7 linked regions of the Sus scrofa genome follow. The protein of the gene in region 5 interacts with the protein of the main gene of each other region in a pairwise test. Links are inferred from orthologs where the notes say so. Each region holds a gene or a part of one and is shown on either strand. Other genes may lie near its edges.

Region 1 (3,500 bases), on a different chromosome or scaffold from region 5:
TACCAAGTCTCACTTTTACATAACATTCTATCAAGACAATTTCAAAAACATTATTTCTTAAAGAGTCTAAAAAGATTCAAATTTGCAAATATATTACTAAAAGGGATTTTCTCTAGTTTTCAAGTAATTACAGTTGCAAAAGAAAATGCCTTCAACTCACAAATCTTTTTATTTAGACATGTAAATTTTCTTTTTTTTTTTGTCTTTTTGGGGGCACCCGCAGCTTATGGAGGTTCCCAGGCAAGGGGTTTAATTGGAGTTGGAGCTACAGCTGCCGGCCTATACCACAACCACAGCAACGTAAGATCCTTAACTCACTGAGCGAGGCCAGGGATTAAACCCGCAACTTCATGGTTCCTAGTCGGATTGGTTTCCACTGTGCCACGACAGAACTCCCTAGACATGTAAATTTTCTCAGAATGATTTTTATACAACATGATCCTAAGTCTATTATAAATTCAATCTTCCATATGGAATTATATGTGTCAAACTTATGAATACAAAGGCAATTTACTTTAACATAGATGTAAACAAAACAAAAAACACCTTATCATATAGATCCCCTAAATTTCCATTTTAACCATAAAAATTCTCTTTTTAAGAATAAATATGGCTTACCTGTTCCCTACTGAATCTTGAGAGATCTGAAAGTTTGGAATGATAGAGGAAACACCGTATTCATCTTGATACTTCTTACAAGATTTGTAATGATGTCTCATACGATAGAATTTAATCTGTAAATTATTGATTAAAATACAATGTGACTTTCAAAAGAATAAACATTACATCATTCCATTTATACAATGGTACATAGAATAGGGAAATTCACAGAGACAAAGTAAAACATAGGTTACTAGAGGGGACGAGAAATGGGAAGTTACGGTTTAATGCATACAGAGCTTCTGTTTGGGATGATAAAGAAATTCTGGACAGAGAGTGGTGACTGTTATACAATGCTGTGAATGTACTTAATGCCACTGTACTGCACGCCTACAATGGTTAAAAAGGTACATTTTGCATTATGTATATTTTATCATAATAAAATTTTTTTTAATTTTAAAATATTATGTGACTTTATTTTAATTTTCTATTTAGGGCAGCATCTGCTGCATATGAAAGTTCTCAGGCTGAATCAGAGCTGCAGCTGACATCCTATACCACAGCACAGAGCAACACCAGATCTGAGACCTACACCATGGCTCGTAGTAACGCCAGATCCTTAACCCACTGATCGAGGCCAGGGACAGACCCGCATCCTCATGGACACCATGTTGGCTTCTTAACCCGCTGAGCCACAATAGGAACTTCAAAAAATGTAATGTGACTTTTAATTTAAAATGGAATTCCTCCTGAGACTCAAGATATTGTCAAAAAAAAAGATAAAAATATACAACGAGGCGTTCCCGTCATGGCTCAGCAGTTAACGAACCCAACTAGCATCCATGAGGACATGGGTTCGATTCCTGGCCTTGTCCAGTGGGTTAAGGATCCAGCATTTCCGTGAGCTGAGGTGTAGGTCACAGAGGCAGCTCAATCTGGCATTGCTGTGGCTGTGGTGTGGGCTGGCAGCTACACTTCCAATTCGACCCCTAGCCTGGGAACCTCCATATCCCGCGAGTGCTGCCCTAAAAAATAAAAAAATAAATAAAAACACAAAATAGACAATTAAATATTCCATTTAAACAAGTTTTTTTTAAGTAGATAATTTAAGTCTTAAGTAGGAATTGAAAATAAGCAGTAAGTTTCAGTCCATTAAACACAGAGACAATAGAGGCGAGTCTAACCGTTCATAAACTCACCTCAAAAATTAGCAATGTTAGGAGTTCCCGTCATGTTTCAGTGGTTAGTGAATCTGACTAGGAACCATGATGTTGCATGCAGGTTCGATCCCTAGCCTTGCTCCGTGGGTTAAGGATCCGGCATTGCCGTGAGCTGTGGTGTAGGTCGAAAACGCTGCTCGGATCCCACGTTGCTGTGGCTCTGGCGTAGGCCGGTGGCTACAACTCCAATTCAACCCCTAGGCTGGGAACCTCCATATGCCTCAGGTGCGGCCCTGGAAAAGACAAAAAGAAAAAAAGATAAATAAAAATTTTATACTTTAAAAATGCTAATAATAGACAAAAAATAAAATTACAAGTATTAAGAGGTTGCTGCATGGCACTGGGCATCTTTTTTTTAGAATTTTGTTTTGTTTTGTTTTGGTCTTTTTGCCATTGCTTGGGTCGCTCCCTCGACATATGGAGGTTCCCAGGTTAGGGGTCCATTTGGAGCTGTAGCTGCCGGCCTACACCAGAGCCACAGCAATGCCAGATCCGAGCCATGTCTACGACCTACACCACAGCTCACGGCAACGCCGGATCCTTAACCCACTGAGCAAGGCCAGGGATCGAACCTGCAACCTCATGGATCCTAGTCGGACTCGTTAACCACTGAGCCACAACAGGAACTCCGATTTTTACTCTTTAACTATTGCAACCTGGCAGGTAGAAAGTGCTTAAAAAAACTAAGTTCCTGAAGTTCCTGTTGTGGCTCAACGGTAACAAACTCGACTAGTATCCATGAGGATGTGGTTTGACTCCTGGCCTCACTCTGTGGGTTAAGGATCTGGCACTACAGGCCAGCAGCTGCAGCTCCGATTCAACCCCTAACTTGGGAACTTCCATATGCAGAAGATGTGGCCTTAAATAGCAAAAAAAAAAAAAACAAAAAACTGAGTACCCAAGTAACTCTTGGGACATTTTTTAGTTTCTCTCTGAGGAGTTGAGTCAGAATCTCTCAACTGCATTTTCCAGTTTCATTTCACTGCCCTGTCAGTTAACAAATCCCTCCAAGAGATGGACAAGCAGATTATGTCTTTTGTGACTGCATGAAACAGCAAATGGTTTTGCCCACTGACTTTATTAGCTCTTTGAAAAAGTAGTTGTGATAAATCCATAAATTAATGGATATACTCCAAGCCTAACCATCCCTCACCATTTCACTCCCTTTCCAAATGACAGAATAAAATCTAGATTGGGGAGTTCCCATCGTGGTGCAACATAAACAAATCTTACTAGGAACCATGAGGATTCGGGTTCAATCCGTGGCCTTGCTCAGTGGGTTAAGGATCCCGAGTTGCTGTGAGCTGTAGTGTAGGTCGAGGACGGGGCTTGGATCTGGCGTTGTTGTGGCTGTGGTGTAGGCTGGTGGCTACAGCTCCAATTAGACTCCTGGCCTGGGAACCTCTATATGCCATGGGTGCAGCCCTAAAAAAAAGGACAAAAGACAAAAAAAAATAAAATAAAATCAGTAAAAAAATAAAATAAAATAAAATCCAGATTGGAGAATTAATGTCAGTTATTGCCAATACTTGATTTTGTCACCAGAGAGAAAAGTAAGCAAAGTCTTCTGCCAAATATTTTGTACATGAATATTCAAGTACAGTAAGCAAGCAGCTAAAGAGTTGACAACATAAATTCATTTGGCTCATTTCTATGTACAATTGAAATAATGATGCTACC
Region 2 (3,500 bases), on a different chromosome or scaffold from region 5:
GGAACTTAAAAGTTTTTTTTCCTCTCTCTCTCCCTCCCCCCCCCCCCACCGCTTTTTTTAGGGTCACACCTGTGGCATATGGAAGTTCCCAGACTAGAGGTCTAATCAGAGCTGTTGCTGCCAGCCTACACCACAGCCACAGCAACGCCAGATCCGAGAGCGTCTGCAACCTACACCACAGCTCACGGCAATGCCGGATCCTTAACCCACTGAGCGAGGCTAGGGATCGAACCCACTGAGCCATAAAGGGAATTCCTTTAAGTTTTTAAAAAATATGATCTCTTAGTTTTTAGTTAACATCACAAACCCTGGTCAGAGTGCTAGCCTCCACATAAGCCTGTAATATGGAATAAAGCTAGGACATTCTGACAGAATTTACCAATCCCAGCAATACTGAATATCCAGTTCTGAAAAAAAAAAAAAAAAAAAGTTGAAAACAAAACTCTCTTTCTCATTGCCTCCTTAGATCGAAACAGAATTGAAAACTTCATGTCAGCACATTCTATAAGGAAAACAAAAACAATCAAGAGCCCCATCCCCTGCAACTTATTTCCTCTTTGCCAATAAACGAAAAAATAAAATAAAATCTTTATTGGAAGTCCACTCTAAAACATAAAAGCAAATAAATAACCCCCAAAGGAAAGCCATAAAGCACAGCAGAGCACAAGATCTGGACTCAACACCAGGTTGTTCTGAAGCAATTTATTAACCTTTGAGAGTCAGATATTTCATAACTAAGTGAGGATAATAAAATAGTACTCAATTTACGGAAGTTGCTGCAAGGAATAAAATGAGATAATCTGAATAAAGTGCCTAGCAGAGTACTTCCTAGATTAAGAAACAAGAAATCAAAACAAAGAACACTGTTTCAAATTGACTTCCTCATCCAAGAACATGGTTTTGAGTGGGTGGAAAGACTTCTCATCAAAGTGGCTTCATCCTGACCAGTCCGGAATCATACTCTGTAAGATCTTGAGAAGGGACTGCACATGAATAGCCAGAACAGGTATGGAATCAACCTGGCTTTTAGAATGTCTTATGGAGCTAAGATAAAGAGGTACCCCTATGTGTTGTAAAAATGAGAACATGTGGACCAGAAGAAGGAGGCTCTGTTGGAGGCTTGTGTGCCTTAGTGGCCAGAAAAGACTTGACGGAGAGACGTAGGGAGTTCCTACTGTGGTTCAGCAGGCTAAGAACCTGACTAGCATCCATGAGGATTCGGGTTCCATTCCTGTCCTTGCTCAGTGGGTAAAGGATTTGGTGTTGCCATGAGCTGAGGTGTAGGTCACAGACGCGGCAGCTGCAGCTCTGATTTGACCCCTCGCCTGGGAACTTCCATATGCTGCAAGTGTGGCCCTAAAAAGAAAAGAAATGGAAAAAAAAAAAAAAAAGGAGTTCTCATTGTGGCTCAACAATTACAAACCTGACTAGGATCCATGAGGACATGGGTTTAATCCCTGCCCCCAATCAGTGGGTTAAAGATCCGGCGTTGCTGTGAGTTGCAGTCTAAGTTGTAGATGTGGCTGGCAGCTGCAAGCTCTGATTTGATTCCTAGCCTGGGAACTTCCATATGCTGCAGATGAGGCCCTAAAAAGGGAAAAGGAAAAAAAAAACAAACAAAAAAACTATATAGCCCATGTGTCTCACTACACTGATAGTGTCGTATCTGTTATTAGCCATTCAATGTATTATAAAATGAATGCAAATTCTCTGAGCCATTTCATTAGTGATATGGTTTCCCCTCAGCTATGTAGGTTTTTAACCTCATAAAAATTATAACTATATATAGGGAGGCACTAGAGTAGAAATTAAAATAATTTGAAAGCGAAATCTGGGACTTTATACAATGGCTGTACAATGGCTTTACAATGGCTAATATCACAAAGAAAATGATTTTGTCCAAGGCAAGTAACTACTTCAGTATTAACAGTCAATTTATAAAAATACTGTGCTTTATGATTTCCTACTTAACTATAATATTTAACATTTCACAGCTACATGTAATTTTTTCCTCTATAATCTTATTCACTTGGATTAAGAAAGGTAAGCTTATTTAACATATAGCATAAAAACATAATGAAAAAGTAAGAAAATATACTTACTATGAAATCATCATAAAACAAAGTGTGATTGACTTGCAAATGTCTTATTAAGCTGCCAGTGAAGCTGCCTGGATTCTCATTAGGTATTAAACGGCAAAGTGGACAGAACTGGAAATAAACAAGATCAGAGTTCAAGAAAGAATTTTAAATAATCATTAATATCAGAATTAAAAAATTAAATAACTTTAACAAGATGAATTTTAATTTTATGCAGCTACTAGCCATATTTGGCATTATGTTTTATTTATTTATTTATTTTTTTGTCTTTTTGCTATTTCTTGGGCCGATCCCTCGGCATATGGAGGTTCCCAGGCTAGGGGTCTAATCAGAACTGCAGCCACCGGCCCATGCCAGAGCCACAGCAATGCAGGATCCCAGCCGCGTCTGCAACCTACACCACAGCTCACGGCTACGCCGGATTGTCAACCCACTGAGCAAGGGCAGGGACCGAACCCGCAACCTCATGGTTCCTAGTCGGATTCGTTAACCACTGCACCACGACGGGAACTCCTATGTTTTATTTTTAAATTTTAAAAATTTTGTCCACACCCAAGGCATGTGGGAAGTTCCTGGGCCAGGGATCAAACCTGCACGACAGCAATGAACTGAGCCACAGCATTGACAACACCAGACCCTTAAGCTACCAGGTCACTAGGGAACTCCAGCATTATGTTTCAGAATTGCATAAATATTAACACAACATAAATAAATAAAACTACATTTATTTCTTCATCTGTATTTCTCATATAAGAGTATGGCTATTTAGGAAGTTCCTGTGTGGCATAATGGGTTAAGAATCTGGTGTTGCTGCAGCTGTGGCACAGGTGGCAACTCTGGCACAGGTTTGATCCTAGCCTGGGAACTTCCACATGCTGTGGATGCAGCCAAAAAAAAGAGTATGGCAATTTGCTTCATATTTATTAGCTAATATTACAGTTAAATGTACAATAATTTACTTCATTAGTTACCTACCTCTTGGACTTCTGGAATACTTAAGTCTTCTTTGTATGTGAATATTTTGTTACTATAAATTACATTACCTATATTATTTACTTTTGTGGGGATTATTTTCCTAGGATAAATGACCATAAATAGAGATGAGAAAGTCAAGTTATGAACATTCATGGCTCATAGTATACACTGCTCTATAGCTCTGGGTTTGGTTTTTTTTTTTTTTTTTTTTTTTGTCTTTTTAGAGCTGCATCTATACCACAGCCATAGCAACGCCAGATCTGAGCTTCGTCTTCAGTCTATATCACAGCTCACGGCAATACCGGATCCTTAACCCACTGATCCAGGCCGGAGATCAAACCTGCATTCTCTACGGCATTGCCGTGAGCTGTGGTGTAGGTCGCAGACGTGGCTCGGATCCCGTGTTGCCATGGCTCTGGCGTAGGC
Region 3 (2,319 bases), on a different chromosome or scaffold from region 5:
CTGAACCAGTTAAATCCTAAGGGTGTGCAGGAATGATAGGAAAATCTCACTCATCAAAACTTCCAGCATCAGACCATGTTCAACCCAGAACATCCACCCTAACAAGACCTGTGAAATGTTTCCCATGAGGTAACTCTAGCTCCTGGCAGCTGCCGCCAAGGACCAACCAACAGGAACCTGCACAGCACAGGAGGGGGCGCTCCATCACCCATCACCCCATTCTTGCTGGCGCTCACACCCCTTGGGGACAAGGGGAGGAGATGCTTGTTTCATTTGTGCTACTCATGACCCAGAAAAGGTCCTGGCTGGTTCGGAGGACCTGAGAGATCAACAGTGGACAGGAGAAGCAGGCATGAAACGAGGACAGGTGGAAAGCTGGGTTCCCTTCCAAAGAGGAGGCAAAAGCTCCAGGAAATGGCTGAGGAGCAGGAAAAAACCGGACAGATGACAAACAGTGAGCAGTAGGGGAAGAGCCCCAAGGAAAGGAGGGCTTGACTGGGGACCTGTTCCCCTGTCAGAAGTGACCCCGTCCCAACACCAAGGCTCACTTCCAGGTCTGTGGGACATTTTAGGTGGAAGAGTCACATGTTTCACGCGGACACACAGTGGAAGCTCTGGAGCCCGCGCCTGCTCACTGGTCAAGGAGGGAGCGTTGCAGCACTTGGTTCATCATGTCCTCTTCGTCAACGTCGTAATCCTACGGGCAAAGCAGAGGCTCAGCCTCAGGGACCGCCTGCAGCTGTGAGGACTTTTAGTCAGGGAGCAGAGCCTCCGAGGGGTGGGCTTGGGAGAGGCCACTGTTTTCGACGCAAGCTGCGTGACTCTGGGCACACAGCTTGCTCTGTGCCCCTGCTGCCTCACCCTGGTGGTGAACATGAGGGCTCCCTCAGACGGGATGGTGAGACCCAGAGAACACCTGAAGGAGGCCTGGCACAAACCAGCTGCTCAGATGGAGCACCCTGCAGTGAAACCAGACGTTTTGGTGCAATGAGGCAAAGTTATGTATATGGGCTCTACTGGGGAACTGATTTCATCTTTCTCTTTTTATTTTTCGGCTACACCTGTGGCATGTGGAAGTTCTTGGGCCAGGGATCGAATCCACACCACAGCAGCAGGCTAGGCTGCTACAGTGACACTGCCAGATCCTCAACCCACTGTGCCACAAGGAAACTCCCAATAAAAGGTTTACTTTGAACAGCTGGCCAGGTTTCTGCCACTAGAATGCCAGGACAACAATGTGTCCTTCAAAACAGCTCAGCTCCAGAGAAAGGATGTAAACTTGATGACACATTTGGCTAGTTGATGCATTTAGCTTGACCTGAAGTACTTAAAAAAATAAACATGGGGAGTTCCTGCTGTGGTGCAGTGGGTTAAAAATCCAGCATTGTCTCTGCGGCAGCTCGGGTCCCTCTTGAGGTGCAGGTTCAATCCCTGGCCTGGCATAGTGGGTTAAGGATTCCGTGTTGTAGCAGCTGTGGAACTGGTCGCAGTTGCAGCTTGGATTCAATCCCTGGCCTGAGAACTTCCATACAGATGCGGAAAAAAAGGGGGAGAGGTGATGCTTCCTATGGAATTCTGCATTTCCAGCTTACTGAGGTTAGGGCCGGGGAGAAGCCTGGCAATACCGTGCCTTCATTTCCCAACCATGACTATCAGCTGGAGATGATGGCAGCATAACCCGAGTCATGCACCACCCAGCCTGCGATTCCTTACGAAAATCACTTGCCACAGACACCTGAACTTAAGGATCTCAAACCAGGTTCTGTAACAGGTAGAAACCATACACTGAAAGAAAGTGGATAAAGGTTTTCATAAAGATAAAAAATAAAAGCAAGCTTTACTTTGCCTCAGTCTAGATGACTGGCCAGTTCATCTTCTTAAATACCACACAGCTGACATTTCAGGGAGCCCATCACGTTAGTGACAAAACTCCCCAAGGGGACTCATAGTTCTCCAGGTTAGAGAAGGGAGGTAGCTGTTCTGTCCCCCAGGGGAAGGAATTAGAGCCCAGGCTCCAGACTTACCACGAAAGTGTCGTAGGAAAACTGGTGCCGACGCTGGATGTGTTCTATGAAGTTGGCGCTCCGGTAGTTGGGGTCTCCCCACGGCATCGAGGCACATATTGGACAAACCTTTCAAAAAAGAAGCATGGTCTTAGGTACTCCATGACTGAGCTGCCATTAGCCCTCTGTGACCTGTATCTGGCCGCCTTTCTCCCAGGACAGCTGTCCTGACCAGAGCCTGGTCACATCTTCAAGGTCACATTCACATCCCAGAAGACATGGTCAGTCTCCTGCTGGAGTCCAGTGACATGTAGGA
Region 4 (3,500 bases), on a different chromosome or scaffold from region 5:
GTCTGGATGCTGACAAATAAAATTTATAAATGACTTTTTCAACCGCTTCCTCTTGCAATGGGAGTTGTTATTAGCACATCGATTTTGAAATGAAATGTTATGGAATTTTCTTGCTCTAATGAGAAGGCAGATCCAACTGGTAAATAAAGTAATGATTAAAGCAATTAAAAGAGTGGAAATGAGAAATAAAGTAACACAACTCCTAATGCTTAACCCAAACAGGCAGGTTTTGCTGATTTACTAAAAAGATTCCTGTTCATCTCGAGGGAAACATATCGAGAAGCAACGCTCATTCTGAATAAACCCACCCTTGGGGAAGCGGAGAAAAGTCAATTAGTAATGTCATTTGTCTAAAAATCTGCCTGCACCTGGTTCTCATTTGTCCTCCAGCTGAGAAACCAAAGACAACTTCCTTTTATTGCTTGTGGTCGAACGGCAAGTTCATTTCGCCACGGGATGATCAAACGGCCAGCCTCCCCGGCTGGAGAAGGTCTGCCTTTCACTTTCAACTTGTTCAATCATCATTAACTCTGAAAAACGTCACATTCCATTTGTGCAATGAAAATTTCACCACCAGTGACCGCTTGGGTGAAGTTTTTGTAGGCGAGGCCCTCGATCTTGCAGAGCCCGTCACACATTCTCAAGGTCATTCGCCTTGTTTTCCTGCTTAATGACAGTTGCCTAAGATCCTGGGGTCTGCCTCCAGCCCAACATCAGCAGCTCCGAAGAAACCTGTGTGTGGGGGTATGAGTCCCTCCTGAGACTGCGTGATTTGACACATGCATGTTAGTCTGACATGCATACACACACACACACACCCTCCTTTGTTATCTATTAAGCACACACACGTTGGGGTTTTTACCAAGCAAGATTAGAAGTCTTTTTTTTTTTTTTACTAGGGAGATACCAGTAAAAGAGACTGCTACATGCAGCCCATCCAAAGCGGGGTTTCCTTGTTCTGGGAAGCCAGCTTTCCTGGAGGAAGCTGCAGTATCAACTTGGGGAGCTTCCAAAAAGTTTCTGGAAAGGAGAAATAGGTTTCTTTTTAACTTCTGCCATTGGGCTTGGAAATCTTCACCTCCTTCGTTTATTGTTTAATTATACTTCTCCCTCTGTAGAGAAGTTCTGAAGTATAAATCCCAGTGCACATGGCATGGGGCCAGATCCCTCGTGGCACCCTACCAACCTGAGACTCTGAAAGTCGATGGCAAGCAGCAAGATGCCTAAATTAAGACGTCACTTGGTCCAGAGTCTTAAAAAAAATGCACAGAATTTATTGGGGCAAGTCAAATCAATTGTGTGCCATTTGGCAAGCAGGTCTTAGCTAAAAACAGGCCTCAGTTATAGGTCCTGATGTTTAAAGGTTCAAGGTCAAAACGAAGAGAATGTATAAGCAAAGCTCTCTGGAGCCTTAGCGCCGAGGCGCTAACACAGCATTTTAAGTAGCCTCCAAGAAGGTCTTGGTTGCAAGCTCTAGTTTAAGGCCCAAGTTCCACTGGGTCAGCTGCTGAAATAAGGAGGAGGTTATCGGCCCTACTGGATTTTAGGCCAATGTCTTGGTCCCTTTCAACTAGCTTAGGTTCACGGTATATTAGAATATTTACTGTTGCCAATATCTCATTTTTTTCTTTTTTTCTTTTTTCTTATTTGTGTATCTATTGTAAATTTTCGGTTTGCAGTAACCATGAAGTTTAGATATAGGAGTCTCTCTCTCTCTCTCTCTATATATATATATACACTAAATTTTTACAGTTGCTGATCTCTTAATTTCGAACACACTTCCAGTAACCTGCATTTGTACCCTCGTCTTCTCATGATTTTTGGCTTTGGTAGCATAATTGCGTGTGAATGATTTTTTTTTTTGGATTTTTTGCTTTTTAGGGCCACACCTGCCCTATGGAGATTCCCTTTTGATGGACTAGAAGTTGGGTATAGGAGAGAAGAGAAACATAATCTAATAGTTGTTTCCAATTCCCCCAGCCATACAAGACTAGACCCTGGGTCTAAAGAAGAATCACGTAGCCCTTAAAACAGGAAAGGGAATGTCCTGCCTTTGTCTTTTTCTTTTTAGGGTCGCATCTACACCACAGCTCACAACAATGCTGGATCCTTAACCCACTGAGCGAGGCCAGGGATCAAACCTGCATCCTCATGGATACCAGTCGGATTCGTTTCTGCTGTGCCACAATGGGAACTCCTGTCCTGCCATTTTAATGGCTGCATTGACAGCATCACTCTTTTTTTTGTTTTTTTTTTTGTTTTGTTTTTTTTTTGTTTTGTTTTGTTTTGTTTTTGTCTTTTGTCTTTTTGTTGTTGTTGTTGTTGTTGCTATTTCTTGGGCCGCTCCCGCGGCATATGGAGGTTCCCAGGCTAGGGGTTGAATCGGAGCTGTAGCCACCGGCCTACGCCAGAGCCACAGCAACGCGGGATCCGAGCCGCGTCTGCAACCTACACCACAGCTCACGGCAACGCCGGATCGTTAACCCACTGAGCAAGGGCAGGGACCGAACCTGCAACCTCATGGTTCCTAGTCAGATTCGTTAACCACTGCGCCACGACGGGAACTCCGACAGCATCACTCTTAAGAGATTGCAGTACTAGGTTATTAGCTGAAAAAAGCCTTGTGTGCAATTTCCTAGATGAGACTTTTACTCAAACACTTGCATGTATAACCTGGTATTATAAGTGTTTTATAAATATTAACTCATCTAACCCTCATGGTAATTTTAAGAGGTGAAATCACTTACCCAAGTTCGTAGAACTATTCAAACCCAGAAGTCTAGGTCTATATCCATTCTATCATGCAGTTATATGTTTTTGCAACGACTTCTCAGAATAAGCAACCCAAATGCCCATTTATCTGTTGCTTCAAGGTGAGCAGATGATGTGCAAAGAGAAAACATCTGATCTGTTTGCTCCATGTCCCAGGAATGGAAAATGGAGATCAAGTCTCTAAATGTCCCCTTTCTCCTCACACTGGTTTCTTCTACTATTTTGTCTCCAGCTCATGGAGGTCACCTTTCTAGTGCTGACTCCTGAATGTGGGCTGTGTGCGTGTGTATGTGTGTGTGTCACAGTTATTACTGTGCTTCAGTGAAGCTGCACAGGGTTTGTGATGTGGGCATAAAAGCAGACATCATTTGCTCATTAGAGTTAAGTTCTCAAGACGTGCCCCAATTACTGACCTCCACTAACGGCCTGGGTTTGCGCTCGACTGCAAACCTGAAGTGGCAGAGTTCACAGTAACTGGTGTTTGAGGACGACAGCCAGTGCTCCAGGCAGCTCCGATGGATTGTCCCCAAGGTCCCTGTACATTCACATGGAGAGAGCAAGTCCTCTTGGCTGCTGCCCTCATGGCAGATCCTGCACATTGGCCGGTCATTGAAGGGGCTGCAAGAGAAGGAGGGGCACCTGTTGGTCACTGGGCTGGAAACCACCACCATACCATGGTCCTCTGGCCACGTCCTTCAGACCCTCCCCTGTGGCAGCTGCTCAGAATA
Region 5 (3,500 bases):
CGCGTCTTCCTTATTACACCTAATAATCTGACAGCAAGAAAGGAAACCATTTCAAGATTTAGTTTCAACAGGAGGATATTTATCTGTTAACACTATAAACCACTAGAGAGTCACAGATAAGAAAAAGAACGGCCTTCAAAAGCAGCTGCCTTACCTGATTCGCTACTACTGCATCTTGTGGATCATCTGGTTCTGCAGCTGCCAGTAGTGCTTGCAATGACAATAATACTGTGCGCAGAGTCATTGCTGCTGCCCTAAATTCAAAATAGGAAGATATTCCAGTTAACAAGAGTATGGATGATAAAAACAAAGACATTTTCTAAATAAAACATGAAAACTACTGAAGCTAAAAAAAATAGTCTTAGAAATTTATAATTATATACCATTTTTTTTTCTTTACAATGAATGAGTCTACTTCTTAAGACAAGGCAAACTGCCCTTAATTGGCTTAGTTTTTTCTTATTGTTGACAACCTACTTTTGGTCAGCCTTTATCGACTGACTTATCCATTTCTATAGACATAACTTTAAAATACAGTGATAAACTACATGTGAAACTTCCTTTCTGTCACACTCTAAAAACAAGACACATCAAACAAATCTCCTTTACTTTCAAGAAAGCCTAAAATCACTTAAAGGGCATACACTAAGTGAAATAAGTCAGACAAAGAAAGACAAATGCAGAGTCTACAACGAACTACTGAATATAACAAAAAAAAGCAGCAGACCCAAAGAGAACAACAAACTAGTTGTTACTAGCAGGGAGAGAGAAGGGAGGAGGGGCAATATAGGAGTGGGGATTTAAGATGTAACTACCGTATAAAATAAGCTATAAGGATGTATTGTACAACATGGGGAATATAGTCAATATTTTCTAATCACTATAATGGAATATAACTTTTAAAACATGTGAATCACTATACTGTACAACTGTAACTTAAATAATACCATACTGGAGTTCCTGTTGGTGGCTCAGCTGTGGCAACTCGACTAGTATCCAAGAGGATGCAAATTCGATCCTTGGCTTTGGTCAGTGGGTTAATGATCAGGCATTGCTGTGAGCTGTGGTGTAGGTCAAAGAGGCAGCTCAGATCTTGTGTTGCTGTGGTATAGGCCGGCAGATGCAATTCTGATTTGACTCCTAACCTGGGAACCTCCATATGCCGCAGGTGTGCCCCCTCCTCCAAAAAAGGTACAGCAACTAAACTCCAATAAAAAATCTTTATTTAAAAGAAAGCCTAAGAGTTCCCATTGTGGTTCAGGGGGTTAAGAACCCAAGATAGTTTCCATGAGGATGTGGGTTTACTCCCTGGCCTCGCTCAGTGGATTAAGGACCCAACGTTTCTGCAAACTACAGCATGGATTGCAGACACAGCTCAAATCTGGCATTGCTGTGGTTGCAATTTAGGCCTGCAGCTGCAGATCCACTTCGACCCCTAGCCTGGGAACTTCCATATGCTGCAGGTTTTGCTGTAAAATGAAAAATAAAATAATGTTTAAAAATAAAAAACGAAGAGTTCCCGTCGTGGCGCAGTGGAAACGAATCTAACTAGGAATCGCGGAGTTGCGGATTTGATCCCTGGCCATGCTCAGTGGGTTAAGGATCCAGCGTTGCCGTGAGCTATGGTGTAGGTCAAAGACGCAGCTCAGATCCCGAGTTGCTGTGGCTGTGGCGTAGGCCGGCGGCAACAGCTCCGATTAGACCCCTAGCCTGGGAACCTCCATATGCTGCAGGTGCAACCCTGAAAACAAAAAAGAAAGCCTAAAATCATTCTATAAATGGTCTAAAAGGAGAAAGTTTTTTCCTTAATGTATAAATTAATTCATTAAATACTGAAACAGCAGAATAGTGAAATTTATTTGTCTTACTCACACGCCTGTGTATGCGCGCATGTCTTTTTAGGGCCAGACCCAAGGCATACTGAAGTTCCCAGGCTAGGGGTCGAATTGGAGCTCTAGGTGCTAGGCCACACCACAGCTACAGCCACACAGGATCCAAGCCTTGTCTTCGACCTGCACCACAGCTCACAGCAACACTGGATTCTTTGACCCACTAAGTGAGGCCAGGTATTGAACCTTCGACCTCATGGATACTAGTAGGGTTCATTACAGCTGAGCCACAATGGGAACTCCAATAGTGAAACATTTTATTTAATTTTTCTTTTTTTTGGTCTTTTGTCGTTTAGAGCATACCCTCAGCATATGGAGGTTAGCAGGCTAGGGGTCAATTTGGAGCTGTAGCCACCAGCCTACACCACAGCCACAGCAATACCGGATTCTTAACCCACTGAGCAAGGCCAGGGATCAAACCTGTGTCCTCTTGGATCCTAACCAGATTCGTTTTTGCTGAGCCACGACGGGAACACCTAGTAGTGAAACATTTTAAACACTGAGGATTATTATACTACATGTCCATTTTACCACACAAATTAGATACCTCCCAAGCAGTCTTTTTCAACTGGGTTCCTCATTTTAACCACTGAACAAAGAAAATTACTGAATATTTTCTCAATTTCTCCAAGGAAATTGTACCATCCTAGATGCTTAGAAAAAAAGTTAATTTATTACCAACAATGAATGTTTTAAAGAAATGTATCTCACAAAGTGTGGTTTCCTCAACCAGAAACATCATCACCTGGGAACTTGTAAGAAATGAAAATTCTTGGCCTCGTCCTTTATCTACTAAATCAGAAACTCTAGAGTGGTTTAAGAGTTACTCCAAGTGATTATGATGCAAACTAATGTTTGCATAATACTGCTTTAGTGCATTATAGCTTAAGCTAATTGAAAAAGGCTGTTCTGGAGTTACCGTCGTGGCTCAGTGCTTAATGAATCCGATTAGGAACCATGAGGTTGCGGGTTCGATCTCTGGCCTTGCTCAGTGGGTTAAGGATCTGGTGTTGTCGTGAGCTGTGGTGTAGATTGCAGACGCGGCTCCGATCCCGAGTTGCTGTGGCTCTGGCATAGACCAGCAGCTACAGCGCCTATTACCCTAGCCTGGGAACCTCCATATGCAGAGGGAGTGGCCCTAGAAAAGGCAAAAAGACAAAAAAGAAAAGAAAAGAAAAAGGCTGTTCTAAGCCAATAAAATAAAATCGATATCACAAACACAGGTCTATATTTTACCTATTAGAAAAAAAATTATACTAGAAATGGCTCTTTATCTAAAATACTATCAGAATTGTCATCTATACTAAATTCCACAAAATGCATACTAATCTACAAGAGGAGACCAGTACTTACTGAGAAATGGCGGAGTAGCAAGTGTAGCAAGGAGTACTTACAAAAGGACACTAGGAGACCTTTTGGTATGTTGGTTATGTTTGCTATTTTGATTGTATGATGGTTTCATGGATGTGTATATACATCCAAACTCATCAAATTGTTCAATATGTGATGTTTACAATCAATTACACCTCAACAAAGCATTTTAAAAAGTTGTGTTCTAAGAGTTCCCTGGTGGCCTAGAGGTTTAATGATCTGGCATTGTCAATCCTGTGG
Region 6 (3,500 bases), on a different chromosome or scaffold from region 5:
CACTTCTCTGTACCACATACTCTGTATTATGAAGAGCAAACTTCATTTTTGCTGAACTTGTTCTTTAGAACTCAAATTGGAATCAACAAAATCTGAACCTGCTCAAATTGTATATAGAGTATCAATCAGTACACTCCTTCTGCTATCAGAAAAGTATGCATGCATCAGAACAGACCCACTACTACTTATAACACAAAGCACACATGCTAGTGAAGAGTGTATCAAGGTTATTATCTCGGTGTAAATGAAAAAAAATTATCTTTTTTACAATGCAAATACAAACACTTTTTTTTTTTTTTTTTTTGAGGGCCACACCTGTGGCACATGGAGGTTCCCAGGCTGAGGGTCTAATCGGAGCTGTAGCCACCGGTCTACGCCACAGCCACAGCCACGCCAGATCCGAGCCTCATCTGCAACCTACACAACAGCTCACGGCAACGCCAGATCCTTAACCCACTGAGCAAGGCCAGGGATCGAACCTGCAACCTCAGGATTCCCAGTCGGATTCGTTTCCCCTCGCCACGATGGGAACTCCTAAACATATATTTTAATATAAGTAACACATTCTCACAGCACATTTCCATCTAATAATTCTCAATTTCTATTAAACTATTTCCAATAAAATATTTAAGAAAAGGAAGAATAGTTTTCAAAGGAAACTCTACCCAAATTTTGAAATTTTCCTATTTTACCATTAAAGGAAGAGCTCCTAATTGTAAGTGATGTAGTCGAGGGGGTGCATGGTAATGGGCCAAGTGAGGGTGCAATGCTCCAGGTGTGTAAGTAGCTGCAGTCACTCCAGCTTCAATTCCCAGTTCCCTGACAAAGGATGAGAACAGATCAAATTTTAGACATCCTTACAATGTCCTTATTATCCACAGGAATGGGGGAGTATGTTTACATTTCTAAAAGTAATCTGAAGTTTCTTAACTAACTTAGCTGAGAAAAAACATAATTTAGCCCAAAGGATATAACTAATAATTTCAAGTTCACTTCAGAAATTAAAATTCAAAAATTCAATTTTGTGATCATGAGGAGCATGGTACAAATGAAAAGCACTGTACTCAATTTCACATCTTACAAAGGAAGGAAATACAGTGAATGGCCCCTAAGGTTCTTTCCAATCTAAGTCTGATTCTACTTAAGCACACAGAATAGAGTTTACTTTTTTGATTTATATGAATGTTGCTCCCAGGGCTTTTGCTTGTTGGATAGTGCCTCTGGGTTGTTGGTATCAAGGATAATTAGAAGAGTAAACACTTCTATACTTTACAAAGCAAGGGCAAACAAAACTTTAGAAAGAGTAAAATTGGTAAATGCCAGATCTTCATTTATTTATTCTCATTTTACGACTTTGCCTCAAAAGTCACTGTGACTCAAGATCTCAATGACTTCTACAGACAAGAGATCCAGAAAGAAAATTTTAATCCAAATCCGCTTCCATTAGTCTAGGAAAGAACACCAGCCTAGGAGGATGAAGGCTGGATTTCCCTTGTCACTAGCAGGAATTAAGGGTGGTACTACACCTTTGTGAGTACAAAAGTGGAGGTGGTGGATAAAAGAAGTTGTGAAAGGTAGGATCCATCTAGGGAGTGAACTTTGATAGCAGATCCCTGAAAAAAACCAAAAAGCTCTACTCCTGTCTGACATAGGTTTCCTGCCCCAGAACTCAAGCTGCAACTCTTTCATCCCTAGGTCTCTACGACTTGTCCAGAGATAGCACAACAGCTAAGCTGGAATTCAGTTTCTCCGTATTACCCTTCTGTATGGCATTCCACTACAAATTATGTCTTTCAAAGGTTTTTTACAGCAAGAAGCTTAAGCACAACTTTGAAATACACAAGATACTGACCAGGCAGATCTCTCTGGAGCCTGTCGAGGATGTGAGGACATAGTCTGAGGCACATGAATATGATGCCCATGACCATAGTTTGGGTGCATCCTATGTGGATGGGGTGGGGGGCGCTCATGTGCCCGCCTGGAAACACAGAACACAAAAAGACCACTGGAAATAATTGAATAATTGGTTATTTCTTAATGTAGAAAAAACAATCTAGTATTAATATTATAACATCTACACATTAGTCATGAACTTATTTTGGTAACAATAAATTATAAAAATGTAATATAATTTAATGATTAATAAATCAAGAAACCATAATCCCACAAATTCTCACTGCTCATTAATTACAATGCCTCCAATTCACATACCATCCAAAGCAAAAGGGAGTTTTAACATTATCTTGCATATCTTCTTTATGGGAGATTAAAAAAAATTTTTTTTGTTTGTTTTTATGGCAGATATTTTAAATAGAATAACAAACTATGAACAGAAATAAAATTTTATAAAGTAACACTCCAAATGCTGTAGGCACAAAGAAATTATTATAATATTCACCCATTTTAATACATAAAGCTTTTAAGAAAAAATTTTTAACTTTATGCATTTTTTCAAACACATGCAAATACATGTCAACACATCTGGGAAACTGATAATATTAGTTCCATTTACACTCTTTATTCATCAACCCAGATTATTATACTTTCTCTTCCTAGTCTAAAATTTGTCAAACTTACAAATGCAAATGGTCATAACGTTCTGAGCAAATGGCATTAAAAAAAAAAAAAGAAAAAAGTTCCAGGGATTCATTTTTATCGTCTCATTCTTACTTTCTATTAGTTTTGAACACATTTACAGATTTTGCAAGTTTAATCTAAATGATTTAGAACAAGTAATTTTCTAGATACCAGAAAAATATGAATGTTAAACTGGCAACTTTATATAGAAAGTTGGGTCTAATAAGGGTCTAATATTAGAATGGCAGCAACATCCAGAGATTCCAGATATAACCTTAAATTATGTAACTAAAGAAAGAAGTTACACAAGTGCCAGATCATTAATTAGATCAAGAGTTCTGCAAATACTCTGTAAGGGCAAAATTATTTGCTCTATAGGCCACATGGCCTCTGTGGCAACTACTCAACTTAGTTTCTGCAGTGTGAAAGAAGCTACAGACAATATATAAATGAACAAGTGTAGTGGTTTTCCTATAACACCTTAAAAAAACAGGCAGGAAGAATAAGACCAATAAAATATGCTGCCCTAAATTAGAAAATCATGTCCTGAATTTTTAAAAGAAATTTAAAAAGTTCAGTTAGGAGTTCCTGTCAGGGCTCAGTGGTTAACGAACCTGACTAGCATCCATGAGGACGCGGGTTCGATCCCTGGACTTGCTCAGTGGGTTAAAGGATCTGGCATTCCTACGGCTCTGGTGTAGACTGGCAGCTATAGCTACGATTTGACCCCTAGCCTGGGAACGTCCATATGCCACCAGTGCGGCCCTAAAAGGACCAAAAAAAAAAGTTCAATTATATTCTTTTCATAATGTATGGGGAATATTTTAATATTTAAATTTATAAATAAACTAAGCTAGTTAAGAAGACTGATTTTTCAATGACTGATTTTTCAAATTAGTTGTTGAAAATTCCAATACCCTTCT
Region 7 (4,133 bases), on a different chromosome or scaffold from region 5:
TTACTGTTTATTATCCAAAACCCAGAAGAGTATCTGGCACATAGTATATGTTCAGTAAATAGTTGGTGACTTGGAGTTCCTGTTGTGGCTCAGTGGTAATGAACCTAACTAGTATCCATGAGAACTTGGGTTCAATCCCTGGCCTCACTTAGTTGGGGATCCAGTGTTGCAGTGAGCTGTGGCTTGATCCGGTGTTGCTGTGGCTGTGGCCAACAGCTGCAGCTCTGATTCAGCCCCTAGCCTGGGAACTTCCATATGCTGTGGATATAGCCCTAAAAAGACAAAAAAAAAAAAAAAAAAAAAAGTTGGTGACTTAAGGTGATATTTATAAAAGAATACTGATCTGTAGTACAAGAAAACCGCATCTGAATTATTATGCATTTGAATCAGCTATAGTCCTTTCTCGTTCCAACACAAGTTAAGGACTTTTTTTTTTTTTAATTCCGGAAGGTTCAACATTTTGTCTTAAAGAATCAATATATTGAATGTTAAGTATCCATTTCTTTTCATAACTAAGTCAAAAGGTAACTTCTTCCAAGTTTTAGTTTGAAACATTCTTGGTCTAGGAGCTAGGCATTGCTTTTCGCTCACCCAAGTGTAGTCCATCTGCAGCCTTTTTCATTCAACCATTTCCCAACACATCTCTCTTCTCTCCCGAGTTCCCATCCCCACTCTCCCCCTCACCCAAACCATACACAAACAAAACAGAAAAACCACAATTTCACCAGCTCCTGTGGAGACTTGATAACGCTCAAGTTGAGGCCACAAAACTTTTTTTTTTTTTGTCTTTTTGTTTTTTCAAGGGCCGCACCCGCAGCATATGGAAATTCCCAGACTAGGGGTTTAATCGGAGCCGTAGCTGCGGGCCTACAGCAGAGCCACAGCAACGCCGGATTCGAGCCGCGTCTTCTATCTACACCACAGCTCATGGCAACGCCGGATCCTTAACCCACCAAGCGAGGCCAGGGATCGAACCCCCAACCTCAAGTTTCCTAGTCGGGTTCATTTCCGCTGCGCCAGGACGAGAACTCCGACAAGACATGTTTTTAAGGACGCGGTTTCCCCCCTCTATCCTGATTAGGTTTTGTCCAGAGAATATTTTGCTCTCACAGAATGCACCCGTCGTCTCAGAACCGACAGCCTTAGCGCCCTGGGAGCAGCAGAGGAAGGCTATGAAGATCGCCTTCTCTCTTCGCCACTCCAGCCAGCACTTTTGAAGTTCCCGCCTCTGCCAAGAGGCCCCGCCCCCCGGCCCCTGTGGTGCGCCATGCGCATGCCTAGTGCGAGCCGCCTGCCCCCGCCCCGCGCGCGCTCCGCCTCTGTTCCCCGTAGGCCCCCGCGCGCCGCTGGCGGCTAGTTCCCTCCCCAGTCGCACTCTCCCGGGTTGATCGCCGGCGCGCGCACCTCCTAGCGCGGAGGAGTCCCCGACGGGGAGGTTCCGAGAGAGAGACGATTGGCTGACGTGGTGGCTGCGCGTCGGGCCTGAGAAACTCTGGGCGAGCGCGTTGAGTCGCTCCCGGGGCGGTGCGGGGCTCATCTCAGGTAAACCGGTGGGTTGGGAGGTTTGGACGACAAAAGGAGGAGAAAAGGAGGGGTGGGTTTAGACCAGCCTTTGGAATTTCCGGCCGCAGCCTCCTTGGAGAAGAAGGGGGTCACACAGAAACTGCCCCCTCTGAATGTCGGCCCCGAGCGGCCGGGAGTGATGGGGCTAGCTCGAAGGTCAGTTTGGTGTGGTCCTCTGGTCTTCTTGCGCATGATTTCGGCATCTTCCCCTGTTTCCTCTTACAAGAGCTCAGCAACTGAGCATGTATTCAGAAGTGTAGGTTTTTGTTTTGTTTGCTTTTCCTTTAAGAGGCAGTGAGTTAGAGGGTTCAGGTCTAGGCTCAACCTCTGATTGACTCCGTGCCCTTGAGAGTCACTCATTTCGTTGTGTATTTTAGTTCTCACACTTGTTAAGTTTTGGCAGAGTGTGGTGCTTCTTTAGCCATGCTGTAAAAAGATACTGTTAGAATTTTTTTGGTTTACAAAGTCTCTGGGCCCAGATTTCTCTAATTGGAAGGTAACACCACCCAGCAGAATTTGTGAAGTACTTTAAGCTCCATGGATGGAAGGAACTGGATAAACACAAGATAATAGCATTATTAGACAGGATGTCGTAGAAAGAAAAAAGTTTCCACAAGAGCAGGCTTTTTGAAAAGCTCCTTTGAACGTTTTTATGCAGTTTAAATCACAGCGGTAGTAGAAAAAGGTAAGCCAAAACAAAGGGCCAAGCAAAACTGCATTTTAAGGAGACTTTTTTTTTTTTCCGTTCCTCCCGTAACTTTAACAAGTTACTGGCTTTTCAAAGTTTCTTCTTGGGATCTAGTGTGGACCTAAACTAAAATAATGGTTGCAGAAACATTTGGCAATCTTGTGCAGTAGTATACCAAGAAAATTCATTAAAACAAAGATGAATTCTGTTTAAGGTAACAGAAATTAAAATATCTTTCTCATGGGTGAGAGGTAATGATGGCAAATCAGAAAAATGAACAGGAGATGTACACAATTTTCCTTCACAGGCATAGAGTTTGTAGATATGAAATCTTTTTAGTATGCTAATTTTCAAAGGATAATAGACACAGCAGAGTCGGTAAATCATAAGTATATAGCTCAATGAATTTTCACAAAGTGTACCTTTCCAAGTGTTCAGTAGCTAGATCAAGAAAGAGCATTGTTTGCATAGTGGAAGCCCCATTTGTGTCCCTTTTCCAAAGGTAGCCATTATCTCAAAAAAAAATTTTTTTTTTTGTCTTTTTGTTGTTGTTGTTGTTGTTGCTATTTCTTGGGCCGCTCCCGCGGCATATGGAGGTTCCCAGGCTAGGGGTCCAATGGGAGCTGTAGCCACCGGCCTACACCAGAACCACAGCAACGCGGGATCCGAGCCGCGTCTGCAACCTACACCACAGCTCACTGCAACGCCGGATCGTTAACCCACTGAGCAAGGGCAGGGACCAAACCCGCAACCTCATGGTTCCTAGTCGGATTCGTTAACCACTGCGCCACGACGGGAACTCCCATTATCTCAATTTTTGACATCATCAGTGAATTACTTATTGACTTCAGATAAATGGAATTGTGCAGTATACAGTCCTTGGTGTCTCACTTGGTTAATATTATATTCCTGAGGTTTATACAAGGTATGTAACAGTAGTTTGTTCTTAATACTGTACAGTATTCCATCCAGTTTTTGGTTATTATCAGCAGGACTGCTATGAACATTTTGTAAGTATTTTGGTGAGCATCTGTGTACACTTCTGTTGGATGTTGGATGTGGATACCTACTGGTGAAATGACTGTATTATCAGATGCACAGATATCTAGGTATATACTAACAAAGTTGTTCAAAGTAGTTATGTCAATTAATACTCCTGTTAGCAGTGTTTGAGGATTCTGGCTTCTCCAAAAGCTTGTGACATTTAGCATCATCCTTTTCATTTTAGCCATTCTGGTGGGTAGTGATATCATGTTGGGAGTTTCCCTAGTGAATAATGATTTTTAATACCTCTTCATATCCCTCTTTGCCATTTGGATATCCTTCATTCCCAAGGGTCATCACATTTTTTGTAAAGGGCTGGGTAGTTAATATAGGCAGTTCTTGCTTTGTAGAATTTCACTTAAAGCAGTACTGTGTGCAGCTAGGACTGCCCTATTTTATGCTTTGCAGGCCGTGTACAGTCTGTTGTATGTATTTTCTTTCTTCCTTTCCTTCTTTTTTCTTTTTCTTTCCTTTTTTTTTTTTTTTTGCCTGCTTGTTTGCTTGCTTCCCTACCTGCCTTTCCTCTTTTCTTCTTTCCCTTTCTTTCTTCCTCCCTTTTTTTCTTTTTTCCTTAATTTTCTTTTTCTCCCTCCCTTAATTCTTTCCTTCCTTCCTTCCTTCCCACTGCTATATTGAAAAATGACTGTTCATAAATGACTGATATGGTCATTGGTGGTGGTGACATCATTAGATGGGGCTATACTGGAAAAAGTATTCATACATAATAGTATTAAGTAGTATGTGCTGTAGGGTTTAGGTTTTATATTTCAAATCTTTAAACATCCTCTTCGCTTTTTACCAGTTTACCTCGACTAATTAGAGACCTATTTGAGACCTC

Evidence for each region.
Region 1: the proteins of UBE2K (region 5) and RNF138 interact in binary tests that used the Homo sapiens proteins (3 or more experiments, as listed by UniProt). The link is inferred for Sus scrofa from reciprocal best matches to the Homo sapiens genes UBE2K and RNF138.
Region 2: the proteins of UBE2K (region 5) and RNF125 interact in a two-hybrid assay, tested with the Homo sapiens proteins (2 studies listed by BioGRID and IntAct). The link is inferred for Sus scrofa from reciprocal best matches to the Homo sapiens genes UBE2K and RNF125.
Region 3: the proteins of UBE2K (region 5) and RNF114 interact in binary tests that used the Homo sapiens proteins (3 or more experiments, as listed by UniProt). The link is inferred for Sus scrofa from reciprocal best matches to the Homo sapiens genes UBE2K and RNF114.
Region 4: the proteins of UBE2K (region 5) and MARCH3 interact in binary tests that used the Homo sapiens proteins (3 or more experiments, as listed by UniProt). The link is inferred for Sus scrofa from reciprocal best matches to the Homo sapiens genes UBE2K and MARCHF3.
Region 6: the proteins of UBE2K (region 5) and RNF111 interact in binary tests that used the Homo sapiens proteins (3 or more experiments, as listed by UniProt). The link is inferred for Sus scrofa from reciprocal best matches to the Homo sapiens genes UBE2K and RNF111.
Region 7: the proteins of UBE2K (region 5) and MIPOL1 interact in binary tests that used the Homo sapiens proteins (3 or more experiments, as listed by UniProt). The two-hybrid records come from large-scale screens. The link is inferred for Sus scrofa from reciprocal best matches to the Homo sapiens genes UBE2K and MIPOL1.

The regions. Positions count from the first base shown.
Region 1 is NC_010448.4:115,954,521-115,958,020, reverse strand, and holds part of RNF138 (E3 ubiquitin-protein ligase RNF138), read right to left. Parts: intron 735-3,500; coding exon 619-734; intron 1-618. UniProt on the Homo sapiens protein: E3 ubiquitin-protein ligase involved in DNA damage response by promoting DNA resection and homologous recombination.
Region 2 is NC_010448.4:115,895,697-115,899,196, reverse strand, and holds part of RNF125 (E3 ubiquitin-protein ligase RNF125), read right to left. Parts: intron 2,211-3,500; coding exon 2,103-2,210; intron 972-2,102; coding exon of another isoform or gene 936-971; exon of another isoform or gene 462-935; intron 408-461; coding exon of another isoform or gene 321-407; exon of another isoform or gene 189-320; intron 1-188. UniProt on the Homo sapiens protein: E3 ubiquitin-protein ligase that mediates ubiquitination and subsequent proteasomal degradation of target proteins, such as RIGI, MAVS/IPS1, IFIH1/MDA5, JAK1 and p53/TP53.
Region 3 is NC_010459.5:51,525,965-51,528,283, reverse strand, and holds the end of RNF114 (E3 ubiquitin-protein ligase RNF114), read right to left. Parts: intron 2,133-2,319; coding exon 2,025-2,132; intron 698-2,024; coding exon 632-697; 3' UTR 501-631; downstream 1-500. UniProt on the Homo sapiens protein: E3 ubiquitin-protein ligase that promotes the ubiquitination of various substrates. In turn, participates in the regulation of many biological processes including cell cycle, apoptosis, osteoclastogenesis as well as innate or adaptive immunity.
Region 4 is NC_010444.4:129,911,381-129,914,880, forward strand, and holds part of MARCH3 (E3 ubiquitin-protein ligase MARCH3), read right to left. Parts: intron 3,391-3,500; coding exon 3,186-3,390; intron 1-3,185. UniProt on the Homo sapiens protein: E3 ubiquitin-protein ligase which may be involved in endosomal trafficking. E3 ubiquitin ligases accept ubiquitin from an E2 ubiquitin-conjugating enzyme in the form of a thioester and then directly transfer the ubiquitin to targeted substrates.
Region 5 is NC_010450.4:30,950,494-30,953,993, reverse strand, and holds part of UBE2K (ubiquitin-conjugating enzyme E2 K), read right to left. Parts: intron 255-3,500; coding exon 155-254; intron 1-154. UniProt on the Homo sapiens protein: Accepts ubiquitin from the E1 complex and catalyzes its covalent attachment to other proteins. In vitro, in the presence or in the absence of BRCA1-BARD1 E3 ubiquitin-protein ligase complex, catalyzes the synthesis of 'Lys-48'-linked polyubiquitin chains.
Region 6 is NC_010443.5:112,972,601-112,976,100, forward strand, and holds part of RNF111 (E3 ubiquitin-protein ligase Arkadia), read right to left. Parts: intron 2,006-3,500; coding exon 1,853-2,005; intron 820-1,852; coding exon 693-819; intron 1-692. UniProt on the Homo sapiens protein: E3 ubiquitin-protein ligase. Required for mesoderm patterning during embryonic development. Acts as an enhancer of the transcriptional responses of the SMAD2/SMAD3 effectors, which are activated downstream of BMP.
Region 7 is NC_010449.5:62,793,235-62,797,367, reverse strand, and holds the start of MIPOL1 (mirror-image polydactyly gene 1 protein), read left to right. Parts: upstream 1-1,333; 5' UTR 1,334-1,542; exon of another isoform or gene 1,543-1,719; intron 1,720-4,133.